Linked DNA regions of Xenopus tropicalis. The main gene of each other region encodes a partner of the protein of the gene in region 2 in a complex. Links are inferred from orthologs where the notes say so. Each region holds a gene or a part of one and is shown on either strand. Other genes may lie near its edges.

Region 1 (7,672 bases), about 110 Mb from region 2:
CTTCAAGTCTAAAAAACACCACTTTATATATAATTGTACTATGTACGTGTTTTAAAATGCCTCCTGTTTTTTTTAAACTGACTTATTATCAATAATCATCAATGGTCATCATTGCAGCATACTCTCTGTATGGAACAACATTCTTCTCTGGATCCACTGCAGCTGACACCATCTCTTCCATCTCCTCTTGTGTGAATGGTTCACCTGAGACAATAAGACACACAGTCTGTGCAAGTGTTTCATGATTCAAAAATATTTATTTCTAGATTAGCACTGTCTCAAAATAAACACTTTGTGTATAACTGTACCTTCTTCAGTCATATATTTGACAAGTTCTTCTCTAGTGAGGTATCCCTTTTTCTTTTCATCTAAAACCTGGAAATTAGTAAATAGAGCTGATTAGCTCTGCCTGGTAACACTCTTTATTGCCTATTAAAACATAACAATAAAACACCAACCTCAAAGGCTCGGAGAAGAATATCTTCAGGAATGGGTCTATACCTGCAAACCACAAAGGAAAATTATAGAAAGACCTAAATTTGCATCATGTACAACAATTAAAAAACAAGTTTTTCTTTCTACATCTTAATCAGTTTGGCAGGTATCTTTATATAAATCAGCAGAAAAATAAACTCTAGAGAGGAGTGTAAAAACCATACACAGCAGCTCCTGTGGGGAGGGGGCCCAGGATTACAGTCCAGTGCAGTTCTAACTGAATCTAAAACATACAGTATGCATCCAACCATTCCCCCACATATATAATATATTCATCAGAGGATTGCACCCTTGTCATAACTGAAGTATTGTTTTGGGTCTGCAAATACGAAGACATTAGGCTAATGGCTGTGCCAAGACACCCTTTACCTAATGCCACCATAAAGCTGGTGTAAAGCACATGAAAGCACCTAATGAAATGTATACCTTCTCTCCATTAATGCCTTAGTCATCATGGGGAGGAATTTTTCAAAACGAATGTACCCTGTAGGTTCTTCTTCTTCTACCTAAAAGGCAAGGAATATAAATGTAAATAATAAACCATATTTGAAAAAAGAGATTAAGAAATGTAAAAATAATAAATCAATTTTATTTAAAAAAAATATTTCCTGTCATAATTACATTCCATGGGACAGCAAGGTTTATTGCGTTCAAAATCACAAAACACATGGCTATATTTTTAGCAAATAATGTGATGCAGAGTATTTAGTTAAGAAAAAACTTTACATTTAAAGGAGAAGGAAAGTCAGTTTGGCATTTTACTGCCAATAGATTCGCCACATTAGTGCCACCTAGAATGCTATATTTATTCTGCAGAAAGCATTACCATAACTGAGTAAAGAGCCCTAGAAGCTTTCTCTGTTTGTTTAAGACAGCAGCTGCCATTTTAGCTTGGTCTTCATAGCTTCCTGCTTGCAGTTTAGCCGCTATAGCTCAGATTACACATTCCTAAGGGTGGGGGGAGTCAGTTTCATGAATTCTTATGGGAGGGGAGAGCAGGAGAGAGGAGAGAACTGTGCAGACTCTGGCCCCTGGAATGAAGGATTTTTCTGAGAGAGGAAGTCATACACTCTTAGACCATGTTTACAAAAAAGGAGACAATAAATCATGTGTTTCTTTTGATGAGGACTCAGTGCAGTGTTTCTGTGAGTGCTTATGGCTGTATTAACATAGAGCTTTCTGATAAAGCTTACTTAGTTTTTACCTTTCCTTCTCCTTTAAATGTTAATGAAAACTGGTATATTTTGTATAGGATGCCTAATGTGTCTATATATTGATGTTCATTTATAGTTGCTCAGAGTTGCCATACTATTTTTTGTTTAGAAAATGTAACATTTTAGAAACAGACTTTAATAAAACAGTGCCCTCTATTGGCTGAACATGCTAACAAAGACTCGCAGAATTCTTGTTGCCTTTAACAGGCAAAAACTTTCTCAGCTACATCTTAAACGTGGGAGTTATTTTACACAGCAAGATAAGACATACAAAGGTTTTATCTCTTCTTAGGCAATAATAGGTCAGAATAAATATAAAAATATTTTTACTTTTACAGCTGCAATTTTTCAGTTTTTATTGATATGGGCACAATAAGTGCATATAGTTCTGTACTCTTTAACTTGTTTTTAAAACCTTACCTCTGCAATCATATCATGGAGTTCGCCTTCTGTTGGGCAACATTCTAAAGACCTTATGATTGTTCCAATCTCTCTGTTACAAAAGTAGCACAGTTAATGCATGAAACTTTAAAATAAAACAGGGTTAGGGTTAGCTTTTATATCCTGTTAATGTAAAAAAAATCTTAATTAGTCTAATAGCTTTAAAAAATAATAAATAAAATAAATAATGTGCATATTGTATACTTTTTTTAATGAGAACTCTTGACAAAGTAAGGTTTTGCTTGTTTAGTGTGTTGTTTTTTTTTACACAATACAAAGAAAATGATTACCAAAGCACACACACTTTTGAGATTGCATTAAATAATAAAAATGGCAGCTTTAGGAACTGAAAGCTTGTACAGCTGTCTTTCTCCTGTTTACCCAGCATTCTACAAAAAAAAACTACAGGGAAAATGTTATGTTTACCTGACATCAACAGTTTTGTTACATTCATGGTCAAAAACCTCAAAGGCTTCTGTAATTTTTTTCTGTAAATCTGTCACTAGAGATTCTGAAAAAATATGTGTAAGAAAATAATTAGATGCATTAATGGATTAGCAGGCATAGTGACATGCTTTACAGTTATACACTGTTTCCATTACTAATATGACTATTTGAGCTCCATCTGTGTGGAGAACCATCTGTCACCACTTCAAGTGCAACGGATCACCTCTTTAGCACACACAAAGATTTTGGCATGAAAATACATATATTTATATGTCACATGCCTGTCAGTGCACACACAGGTTCAGAAAGAGAATGGTGGTGCATTGCCTATTCTCAGATTGCGCTGAAACAGCCTTAGAACCAGGGCCGCCGCCAGGGAGGACAGTCCTGGGCCCGGTGGGTTTTGAGGTTTAAGGGGGGCCCGGCCGTGCTGCTGTGAGAGCTGCAGAATCGGGTAGCAAAGGACAGGAACCTGGGTGCCTGTATCTCCTTTACTGCTCATTTACCACAGAACTCTAAATCCTGGTAATTCTGCATGGGGATTGGATGGGTCCCTTCCAGCCCATTCAATCACCATGCACCTTTTCCGGGACTTAAACTTTATTGGCAAATGAGCTTACAGAAAGCTGTATGAGATAATAAGAAGCTGGCACTGGAGCGCTAGTCCTGTGTTCTGAAGGCTGCTGGTCACTGACTGCAGGGGGCCCTGGTAATCCAAGTGCAGCGTGGCCTGCGCTCCTATGACCATAAAAAACACCAGGACAACTATTTGCCCTCAAGGCTGCCCTGTACGGTGGTATTCTCTGTTGCTCATATACAGTATGTCTGTTCACACCATAACCTAAACGCTTGAATTAAGGAAATGGATTAATTGGCTTTGGCACTGACTATAATGGATAGAAAACAGAACATAAGCTACTAGCTTTTTTAACACACATTAAAAATGTAATTTGGTGCTTTTTTTTGCATTTATTACTTTTACAGTTTTCCTATATCTTGCACTGATCAGAATAACTTACTTCATTACAGCAACTTATAGTAGCTCATTGTCTCTTGCTTACATTTCAGGGTTTGTTTTTAGCCAACAGTATTGAGATGAGGTATAATAGTAATGGGTGCTAAATTCCAAAGTTTTGATTATAACTATCTTGCACAGAAGCCAATCCTAGTAACAGGGATGTGACTGGTGTGATCAGTACAATTTTAGGATATCCTTAGGTACACACCTACATACCTACACCTGCACGGCCCCCTTACGTTATCAGAGAATGGGAATTGCAGTACATTTTTTAAGGGGAAGTAAAGTGAAAAATCTAAGAGCCCTTATGGTGCCAGGTTCTTTATGAAAAAGACAATATTTTTTAATATAAATTTATTAAAAAAATCCATACAGGTTTTTTTTTTGTTTAACATAAATATAATCCCTTGCCTTTGATTCCCCCCCTTCACTTCACTAGGTCTGATGTACTGATCGAACAAAAGCTTAGATGCCCACTGGCTGGACAACAGATCCTGCTAATTGTGTTGTATGGGGCCTGTGAGTTCTGATGGCAGCCCTGCCTAGGATTATAGCACATTCTGCTGCCTGCAGTATATCAATACTAAAATTCTATTCCAAATTGTACCAATAGGTTAATTGATACTCTATCTAAAATGCACCCAGTATTTTAGTCACCCATAAAGATGAACAGGCGATTATTTGTAGAATGTACTTTACTCGTTTCTATTGATTTTCTAACAGGGTTCAGACCAAGTCTCTGTTAATTTCCCCTTCTCCTTCCCTCTCCTCGTCTCGCTATTTTTATCTGTTTTTTACATTTTGTTATGGAGCATTAACTTACCAGCGGCCTCCTTCTCATCAGTCATTTTTGTATCTGGTTGCTAGGTGACTGCACAACCCAAGTCATTTGACCACCTGGTGGCGCTGAGATGACGTGCGTGAATATAAAACACTTCCTAGCTGCTTGTTCCTGCGAGCGGCTGGAGCGTGACGTCATTGATCTGCGCCATTTGGAAAATACAGCTACAGAGGAGTGAAGAGTAACAATGTCTGAGCGGAAAGTCTTAAATGTACGTAATAGTAAGAAGGGACTTGGGGAAAGGGACAGGAGGCGCTTGGTTAAGGGATAGACCGGTTGAAGATATGTAAACAGCACTCACTAATAAAGACGTGGTGCGTCAGTAAAAACTCTGAGGATTGTGTTATAAAAGGTGCAAAATTCTGTACATGACTTGTTACCTAATGCAACCAATCAGCAAGTAGCATTTGCTGGTCACTTTTTTTTAACGCAAAATATGGCTTTCTTCACCCTGGCATACTTGTAACTTTTATTACGTATGAGGGATATTACATATGTTACATGTTATATAATTAATACTAAGAGAAGTTATCAAAGTAGTAAAGGCTGAAGTGAAGACAACTCTGCTGGGTCAGTAGTTCCAGCATTCCACTCTGTCAGCTTCAGGGGTAGGCTGCAAGGTCACCAGTATGAAATTCAATTATTATATTGTACATTTAAAGCAAGACAAATCTTGCTTCCTATGCCAGAAGCATCTTGTTTAAAAAGCTTGGTCATTCCACATACGTGCAGAGTTCAGCTAAAATGCATAACTATTATAATCATAATAAACGTTCTCTGGCAAAATCTGGCTAGTGTGCAGTAACAGGCGGATTACACATGGGGCAGCTAAATCAGCATGTCCCCTGTGTAGCAAAATGGTTTGTATGATATGGGCCTAGAGCTAACAGCGATGGCACTGGAAACTGGTTAACACAGAATATAGTCAGTTTATAGTGCGTACTACTAATATCAGTTGTCAGGGTCACGTTAAAAAACATGCTGAAGGTACTTTGATGTCTATGTTATGAAGATGTAAACTGTAATTAAAAGCCCAGCTTATGAATTCTTACATTTCTTGCTATATGTAATGACACCTATATATGTACAGATATATGAAGACACTGCTGTATCAGCCATGAGTATCCAGGAAATAAATTGTCACTTAACTGAGGAAGATCTAGGCCTTACCCTTAGATCTTAGGTCTTACACTAACTGGCTTGCAGACTTGGTCCCCCTAGCCACTTGGTCAGTTTAGGTACCACTGATATAGATGACACATAATAACATAGTAAGTTAGGTTGAAAAAGGACATATGGCCACCAAGTTAAACGTAATGCTTATATATAACTTGCATAACTGCTAGTTGATCCAGTGGAAGGCACAAAACCCCATCTGAAGCCTCTCTAATTTGCTGCAGAGGGGGAAAAATTCTTTCCTGACTCCAAGATGGCAATCGGACCAGTCCCTGGATCAACTTGTACTAAGAGCTATCTCCCATAACCCTGTATTCCCTCACTTGCTAAAAAGCCATCCAACCCCTTCTTGAAGATAACTAATGTATCAGCCAGTAGGAGTGGTTCAAGTATGGAATTCCACAACTTCACAGCTCTCACAGTAAAAAAATCCTTTCCGAATATTTAAACAGAACCTCCTTTCTTCTAAATGGAGTGGGTGCCCTTGTGTCAGTTAGAAGGACCTACTGGTAAATAAAGCTTTAGAGAGGTTATTATATGATCCCCTTATATATTTATACATAGTTATCATGTCACCTCTGTGCCTCATCTCCAGTGTAAACAGACCGAACTTTGCTAGTCTTTCTTCATAACTGAGACTTTCCATACGCTTAACAATCTAAGCTGCCCTTCTCTGGACCCTCTCTAATTCAATAATGCCCCGTTTGAGCACTGGAGACCAAAATTGAACAGCATATTCTAGATGGGGCCTTACCAGCGCTCTGTAAAGGGGAAGAATAACCCCCTCCTCCCGTGAAGCTATGCACCTTTTGATACAGCTCAAAACCTTGCAGCTGCTGCCTGGCATTGCTTGCTACAGCCAAGTTTATTATCTACAAAGACTCTGAGGTCCTTCTCCATTATGGACCGTTCGTGCATTTTTCTTTTACAAATAATAAATTTAAGTTTATACATATTTTCCAGTTAACTATTTTATAATAAGCTTTTAATCAAAGCGTTTGATTTTATTTCACTGAAATATATTGACATTTTTTTCTGGAAACATAGTACTAGTGGTCGATATATGCATGCAGTACATCAGCTGTATTTGAACGTACTTAATATTCCAAGGACTTACTTGTATGCTGTGTAAAGCATTTGCAGTCTTTGGCATTGTTTTTCCCCCAACGTCCACAATGTTTACCATAGGGAGGCTGTCAGAGCTCTGCATCCTTCCATATATGGTGATATCATATATATTTTTCAGGTTATCTTCTAAGGCAACCAATCATTCATTTATCGAGCCTATAAATTGTTTACTGTTATAAATAATTATAAATTATTTGCTCTTATTGTTATAAAATGATTTCATTTTAACTTTTTATCTGTTTTAGAAATATTACCCTCCAGATTTTGATCCATCTAAAATCCCAAAGTTAAAGCTTCCAAAAGATCGCCAGTATGTGGTTCGTCTGATGGCACCATTTAATATGAGGTGAGTGCATGTGAGTGGTGTTTAAGGAGTAACCCACTGAAATATTTTTTATACTGTTTTTCATCGAATTGTCCAGAGTAAGTAATTTTATTTCTTCGTCAATGTCTTTGCAGGTGTAAGACTTGTGGAGAGTATATTTACAAGGGGAAGAAGTTCAATGCTAGAAAAGAAACTGTGCAAAATGAACTGTATCTGGGGCTCCCTATTTTCCGTTTCTATATTAAGTGTACACGTTGCCTAGCTGAGATCACTTTTAAGGTAATAAAGTAAACCTTATATTTGGAGGATATTTTTGAAGGACCAGCACTCCAGTTAATGAATTATAAAGTTTTAACATCACTGTGTATATGGACTTTTATCAAGGATCCTAAAGTAGTACGATAGAAGCATGCTTGATAAAGGCTCTAATGTGGGCCAAAACGTTGGATTCAAAGTGGTGTTAAATAAAACAGTATAATTCAAGAATGGAGTTCTGGTCCTTCTGAAAGCTTTATATTACATATTGACCGTGTACCCAAGGCTAGACTGACTATGGACACACACACATATATATTTATTTATAATAA
Region 2 (7,715 bases):
ATGCGTTAAATTTAAGTGCTCGGGGTCGGACGTCGGGTGGGGGGTTAGGGGGAGACACCTGCGGGGGGGGGGGGTTAGGGGGAGACACCTGCGGGGGGGGGGGGGGGGTTAGGGGGAGACACCTGCGGGGGGGGTTAGGGGGAGACACCTGCGGGGGGGGGTTAGGGGGAGACACCTGCGGGGGGGGGGGTTAGGGGGAGACACCTGCGGGGGGGGGGGTTAGGGGGAGACACCTGCGGGGGGATTGGGGGGGGATACCTGGGGGGGGGTTGGGTGACACCTGCAGGGCCCCTGGGTTGCAGCCCCGTGAGCCCTTCACCCCCGTGAGCCCTTCACCCCCCAGTATGACCCTGGGTGTTACTGTTCCTTTAATTTTCTCTTTTTAGTGGTTGCTGAGATATTTGCTGTTTTAGACTGCTAATAAGCTCTCTCTCAGAAGTCCGTGTGTCAGTGACCAACTATGTTAACCCTCTGGGGCTCATTTACCCACAGAGAGCACTATGGGAAATCCGATTGGCGCCGTGGGTGCATTGATAGATAGCTAAGCATTGATAAATAAGCCCCTCTGATTGGGAGAGGGAACTGCTGAGTTGGCATTAGCAGTCTAAAACGATTTTTAGTAAGTTTACGTGCATTACTTCCCCTTTAAAGCCCAGAGCTAGGAACATTTGTGGTTTTCACCTATTCCTAGCAACGTTGCAATTGGTCCCCATTATTTATTTGTTTGTAGTATTTGAATGATTTGCTCCTGTACAGCTTTCAAATGGGGGTCACTGACCCCAGCAACCAGGAAACTTTTTCGTTCTGATCTTTACAATTTTATTGTTATTGTTACATTATATACCTTGTATTTATATTCAGTTCCTCTCCTAATTATATTCCAGTCTCCCGTTCAATCCACAGCATGGTTGCTAAGGTAAACAAGACCCTAGCAACCAGATAGCTGCTGAAATTCCAAACTGGAGAGCTGCTGAATAAAAAGCTGAATAATTGAAAAAAACACAAAAAATAAAGACCAATTGCAAATTGTCGGATTGAGGACCAATGAGGGAACCTTATGGTGTCGCCACCTTACCCTGATACTGTCGGCCACTCCGCTTCCTTCTTGGTTTATTTACCGCCGCTGCCCCCTGCTGGCTGCTCCTTTAATTGGATTTATTGTTATCGGCACTTCCCTGGATACAGAGGCTGGATTGGTATTAATTAAAGGGGAACTTAATATGAGGCCCCTCCCCAGCTACATCAGCTGGAGTCACAACCAGCAGTGCAGGGAAGGGAGAGGGACAGACACAGTGACAGTTACACATAACTATAAACCCAGTGAGAATGAGGGATGAATGGATATTGGGGAGTTGTATCAGGAGTCAGAACCAGCAGTGCAGGGAAGGGAAAGGGACAGACACAGTGACAGTTACACATAACTATAAACCCAGTGAGAATGAGGAATGAATGGATATTGGGGAGTTGTATCAGGAGTCAGAACCAGCAGTGCAGGGAAGGGAAAGGGACAGACACAGTGACAGTTACACATAACTATAAACCCAGTGAGAATGAGGGATGAATGGATATTGGGGAGTTGTATCAGGAGTCAGAACCAGCAGTGCAGGGAAGGGAAAGGGACAGACACAGTGACAGTTACACATAACTATAAACCCAGTGAGAATGAGGAATGAATGGATATTGGGGAGTTGTATCAGGAGTCAGAACCAGCAGTGCAGGGAAGGGAAAGGGACAGACACAGTGACAGTTACACATAACTATAAACCCAGTGAGAATGAGGGATGAATGGATATTGGGGAGTTGTATCAGGAGTCAGAACCAGCAGTGCAGGGAAGGGAAAGGGACAGACACAGTGACAGTTACACATAACTATAAACCCAGTGAGAATGAGGAATGAATGGATATTGGGGAGTTGTATCAGGAGTCAGAACCAGCAGTGCAGGGAAGGGAGAGGGACAGACACAGTGACAGTTACACATAACTATAAACCCAGTGAGAATGAGGGATGAATGGATATTGGGGAGTTGTATCAGGAGTCAGAACCAGCAGTGCAGGGAAGGGAAAGGGACAGACACAGTGACAGTTACACATAACTATAAACCCAGTGAGAATGAGGGATGAATGGATATTGGGGAGTTGTATCAGGAGTCAGAACCAGCAGTGCAGGGAAGGGAAAGGGACAGACACAGTGACTGGATATTGGGAAGGGGAATTTCTTTCACTCGGCAAACAATGCAGTTATGGGGGGTATTTCCCTATAAGGGGGGGCTAATGCGTTTGTTTCCCCTTTCTCTCAATACCACAGAAATCGTATCTATCGCTCAGCATCTCTTATAAACCGGAGCCGAATCACTGCCTGGTTGCTACGCTACACTGCTCCCTCCCACAGCTTTACAACCCTATTAACCAACCGGTGATAAGCTCCCGCCTACCGACACAACATACAAGCGCGCATAGGCGGATGGAGACGTCAATCTGACAAGGGCTTCGTAACTAAAATACGCTTCCATTGGTCAGAGAGTTCTGACGAGCCTTGCGGGCAGCCTAGTTTTCATTGGTTGAACGGGTTATTCGGTGTCTCTTAGCAACGGGAAATGCTAACAGCGCCACATGACGTACAGGACTCACTGAATCAGCCGCTGAGGTAACTGGGACCGGGGCAATACCGGGGCAACACCGGGGCAATACCGGGGCAACACCGGGGCTGGGCAATACCGGGGCAACACCGGGGCTGGGCAATACCGGGGCAACACCGGGGCAATACCGGGGCAACACCGGGGCAATACCGGGGCAACACCGGGGCAATACCGGGGCAATACCGGGGCAATACCGGGGCAATACCGGGGCAATACCGGGGCAACACCGGGCAATACCGGGGCAACACCGGGGCAATACCGGGGCAATACCGGGGCAACACCGGGGCAATACCGGGGCAATACCGGGGCAACACCGGGGCAATACCGGGGCAATACAGGGGCAATACCGGGGCAATACCGGGGCAACACCGGGGCAATACCGGGGCAATACCGGGGCAACACCGGGGCAATACCGGGGCAACACCGGGGCAATACCGGGGCAATACCGGGGCGGGGCAATACCGGGGCAACACCGGGGCAATACCGGGGCAACACCGGGGCAACACCGGGGCAACACCGGGGCAACACCGGGGCAATACCGGGGCAATACCGGGGCTGGGCAATACCGGGGCAATACCGGGACTGGGCAATACCGGGGCAATACCGGGGCAATACCGGGGGAATACCGGGGCAATACCGGGGCTGGGCAATACCGGGGCAATACCGGGGCAATACCGGGGCTGGGCAATACCGGGGCAATACCGGGGGGCAATACCGGGCAATACCGGGGCTACGGGAATACCGGGGCTGGGCAATACCGGGGCAATACCGGGGCTGGGCAATACCGGGCAATACCGGGGCAATACCGGGGCTGGGCAATACCGGGGCAATACCGGGGCAATACCGGGGCTGGGCAATACGGGGCAATACCGGGCTGGGCAATACGGGCAATACCGGGGCTGGGCAATACCGGGCAATACCGGGACTGGGCAATACGGGGCAATACCGGGGGAATACCGGGGCAATACCGGGGCTGGGCAATACCGGGGCAATACCGGGGCAATACCGGGGCTGGGCAATACCGGGGCATACCGGGACTGGGCAATACCGGGGCAATACCGGGGCAATACCGGGGAATACCGGGGCAATACCGGGACTGGGCAATACCGGGCAATACCGGGGCAATACCGGGGCTGGGCAATACCGGGGCAATACGGGGCTGGGCAATACGGGGCAATACCGGGGCAATACCGGGCAATACCGGGGCTGGGCAATACCGGGGCAATACCGGGGCTGGGCAATACCGGGGCAATACCGGGGCTGGGCAATACCGGGGCAATACGGGGCAATACCAATACCGGGGCAATACCGGGGCAATACCGGGGCTGGGCAATACCGGGCAATACCGGGGCTGGGCAATACCGGGGCAATACCGGGGCTGGGCAATACCGGGGCAATACCGGGGCAATACCGGGCAATACCGGGGCAATACCGGGGCAATACCGGGACTGGGCAATACCGGGGCAATACCGGGGCTGGGCAATACCGGGGCAATACCGGGGCAATACCGGGGCAACAATACGGGGCAATACCGGGGGCAATACCGGGGCAATACCGGGCAATACCGGGGCAATACCGGGGGGCAATACCGGGCAATACCGGGGCAATACCGGGGCTGGGCAATACCGGGGCAATACCGGGGCAATACCGGGACTGGGCAATACCCGGGGCAACCGGGGCAATACCGGGACTGGGCAATACCGGGGCAACACCGGGGCAATACCGGGCTGGGCAATACCGGGGCAATACCGGGGGAATACCGGGGCAATACCGGGGCTGGGCAATACCGGGGCAATACCGGGACTGGGCAATACCCGGGGCAATACCGGGGCTGGGCAATACCGGGGCAATACCGGGGCTGGGCAATACCGGGGCAATACCGGGGCTATACCGGGACTGGGCAATACCGGGACTAGGCAATACCGGGGCAATACCGGGGCAATACCGGGACGGGGGCAATACGGGGCAATACCGGGACTGGGCAATACCGGGGCTGGGCAATACGGGGCAATACCGGGGCAATACCGGGACTGGGCAATACCGGGACTAGGCAATACCGGGGCAATACCGGGCAATACCGGGACCGGGCAATACCGGGCAATACCGGGACTGGGCAATACCGGGGCAATCCGGGGCTGGGCAATACCGGGGCAATACCGGGGCAATACCGGGGCAATACGGGACTGGGCAATACTGGGACTAGGCAATACCGGGGCAATACCGGGGCAATACCGGGACCGGGGCAATACCGGGGCAATACCGGGACTGGGCAATACCGGGGCAATACCGGGACTGGGCAATACCGGGGCAATACCGGGGCAATACCGGGACTGGGCAATACCGGGGCAATACCGGGGCAATACCGGGGCAATACCGGGACTGGGCAATACTGGGGCAATACCGGGACTGGGCAATACCGGGGCAATACCGGGACTGGGCAATCGGGGCAATACCGGGGCAATACCTGGGCAATACCGGGGCAATACCGGGGACTGGGGCAATACCGCCGGGACTGGGCATACCGGGACTGGGCAATACCGGGGACAGGACAGGCCAATACCGGGGACTGGGCAATACCGGGGCAATACCGGGACTGGGCAATACCGGGCAATACCGGGACTGGGCAATACCGGGGCAATACCGGGACTGGGCAATACCGGGACTGGGCAATACCGGGGCAATACCGGGACTGGGCAATACCGGGGCAATACCGGGACTGGGCAATACCGGGGCAATACCGGGACTGGGCAATACCGGGGCAATACCGGGACTGGGCAATACCGGGACTGGGCAATACCGGGGCAATACCGGGGTGCCAGGCAGGGCCAGTGGGGAGGTGCCTGGTACTATTAGCAGTAAAGGGGGCCATATTAATACGAGGGGAAGAGAAGCCCCCACTGCTGATCCCTATGGGGCTGAATTGTATCTGTAGGACTGGTTAATGACTGGTTAATGACTGGTTAATGACTGGTTAATAAGGCCCGGGCAGCTGATGTATCACTGAGAGATGGAGAGAGCAGTAGGTGCCCTGTATTTGCACCAGGGATAAGGAGGCTTTGCTCATAGGAGCTCAGGGCCGCCATCAGAAATCACAAGGCCCCTCACAACAACATTTTCTGTGCCCCCCCTCCTCCCACGCCCCAGTGACCCCTCCCATTAATACAAAGGACACACAGACGTTGGTAGCCAGGGCCCCCTAAAACATTGGTGGTCCTCCCCCAATGTCCTCATACTATGGCCTGCTCTCCGCTGCTTCCTTACTTCCTCCCGCTCCCACCCCGCGTCCTCCCGCATCCTCCAGTTCCTCTCCCCACGTCCTCCTGCATCCTTCAGCTCCCCCCCATGTCTTCCCCCCCCGCACGTCCTCCCACATCCTTCAGCTCCCCCCCACATTCTGCCCCCCCGCACGTCCTCCCACATCCTTCAACTCCCCGGCACGTCTCCCCACCGCAGCGTCTTCCAAGTCTTCCGGCTCCCCCCCAGCATCCTCCTGCTTCCTCCAGGGCCCCCTAAGCATGCTCCAGCTCCCCCCCAGCAACCTCCTGCTTCCTCCAGGGCCCCCCAAGCATCCTCCAGCTCCCCCCCAGCATCCTTCTGCATTCTCCAGGGCCCCCCAAGCATCCTCTAGCTCCCCCCCAGCAACCTCCTGCTTCCTCCAGGGCCCCCAGCATCCTCTTGCTTCCTCCAGGGCCCCCCAAGCATCATCCAGCTCCCCCCAGCTTCCTCCAGGGCCCCCCAAGCATCCTCTAGCTTCCCCCCATCATCATCCTGCTTCCTCCAGGGCCCCCAGCATCCTCTTGCTTCCTCCAGGGCCCCCCCAAGCATCATCCAGCTCCCCCCAGCATCCTCCTGCTTCCTCCAGGGCCCCCCAAGCATCCTCCAGCTTCCCCCCATCATCCTCCTGCTTCCTCCAGGGCCCCCAGCATCCTCTTGCTTCCTCCAGGGCCCCCCAAGCATCATCCAGCTCCCCCCAGCATCCTCCTGCTTCCTCCAGGGCCCCCCAAGCATCCTCCAGCTCCCCCCAGCATCCTCCTGCTTCCTCCAGGGCCCCCCAAGCATCCTCTAGCTCCCCCCAGCATGCTTCTGCGTCCTCCAGGGCCCCCCCAGCATCCTCCTTCTTCCTCCAGGGCCCCCCAAGCATCCACCAGCTCCCCCTCAGCAACCTCCTGCTTCCTCCATTGCCCCCCAAGCATCCTCCAGCTCCCCCCAGCAACCTCCTGCTTCCTCCAGGGCCCCCCCCTAGCATCCTCCAGCTCCCCCCCCCCCAGCAACCTCCTCCTTCCTCCAGGGCCTCCGAAGCATCCTCCAGCTCCCCCCAGCAACCTCCTGCTTCCTCCAGGGCCCTCCAAGCATCATCCAGCTCCCCTACCCCAGCTCCCTGACGTCACACGTACGCACGTGGCGCGACCAATGACTGGGCCCGGAGTTGATTAAAGGGGGCCCAAGCTAAGAAAACTCTAGCACGGCTGGGCCCCCTTTAAAGTTAAAAACGCCCGGGCCCGGGATGACTGTCCCCCTGTGCCCCCCTGATGCCGGCCCTGCAGGAGCTTACAATCTAAGCCCAACAGAGCAGGAAGTTCTGCATAGAGCATTATATTTACTGTGTTGTTATTATTTGCCCCGCCTCCAGCGACACCATGAGCCTGTACGAGAAAGAGCCTGGTACCGAGGAGAGCGCAGTCACCGGCCCTTCATTGGACGCAGAAGATCCCCAGGAGCGAATAGAAGCGAGGCGGCTGCGCATTGCAGCACGAATTGAAGCCAAGAGGCGGTGAGACTTCATTCTGGGGCTTCATGGCTTTGAGTAATGGTTACGCACCTACTGGGGCTCATTTATAAACACCGGGCAAATGTGCACCTGGGCAGTAACCCATAGCAACCAATCTGCAATGAGATTTTTCCAGCGAGCTGTAGGTAGAACGATGAAAGCAAACTTCTAATTGGTTGTCACGGGGTACTGCCCAGGTGCAAATTTGCCCAGAGTGGAGAAAGGTGCCGAGTGGATCTTTATTGGCTGCTATCATTAGGGTCCTAAAATGGAGTTAAATATTGTGCTGCTTTACTCTCGCTTATAGGGAG

What was found.
Region 1: drc1 (region 2) and efcab2 share a complex: the UniProt entries of both Homo sapiens proteins name them as parts of the nexin-dynein regulatory complex. The link is inferred for Xenopus tropicalis from reciprocal best matches to the Homo sapiens genes DRC1 and DRC8.

Annotation. Positions count from the first base shown.
Region 1 is NC_030681.2:51,985,002-51,992,673, forward strand, and holds the start of efcab2 (dynein regulatory complex protein 8), read right to left. Parts: upstream 4,522-7,672; 5' UTR 4,464-4,521; coding exon 4,439-4,463; intron 2,662-4,438; coding exon 2,577-2,661; intron 2,203-2,576; coding exon 2,130-2,202; intron 1,002-2,129; coding exon 922-1,001; intron 502-921; coding exon 459-501; intron 376-458; coding exon 309-375; intron 205-308; coding exon 89-204; 3' UTR 1-88. Other genes in the region: splicing factor YJU2, read left to right, coding at 4,644-4,667, 7,006-7,106, 7,220-7,364. UniProt on the Homo sapiens protein: Component of the nexin-dynein regulatory complex (N-DRC), a key regulator of ciliary/flagellar motility which maintains the alignment and integrity of the distal axoneme and regulates microtubule sliding in motile axonemes.
Region 2 is NC_030681.2:159,571,360-159,579,074, forward strand, and holds the start of drc1 (dynein regulatory complex protein 1), read left to right. Parts: upstream 1-2,541; 5' UTR 2,542-2,594; coding exon 2,595-2,644; intron 2,645-7,266; coding exon 7,267-7,407; intron 7,408-7,711; coding exon 7,712-7,715. UniProt on the Homo sapiens protein: Component of the nexin-dynein regulatory complex (N-DRC) a key regulator of ciliary/flagellar motility which maintains the alignment and integrity of the distal axoneme and regulates microtubule sliding in motile axonemes.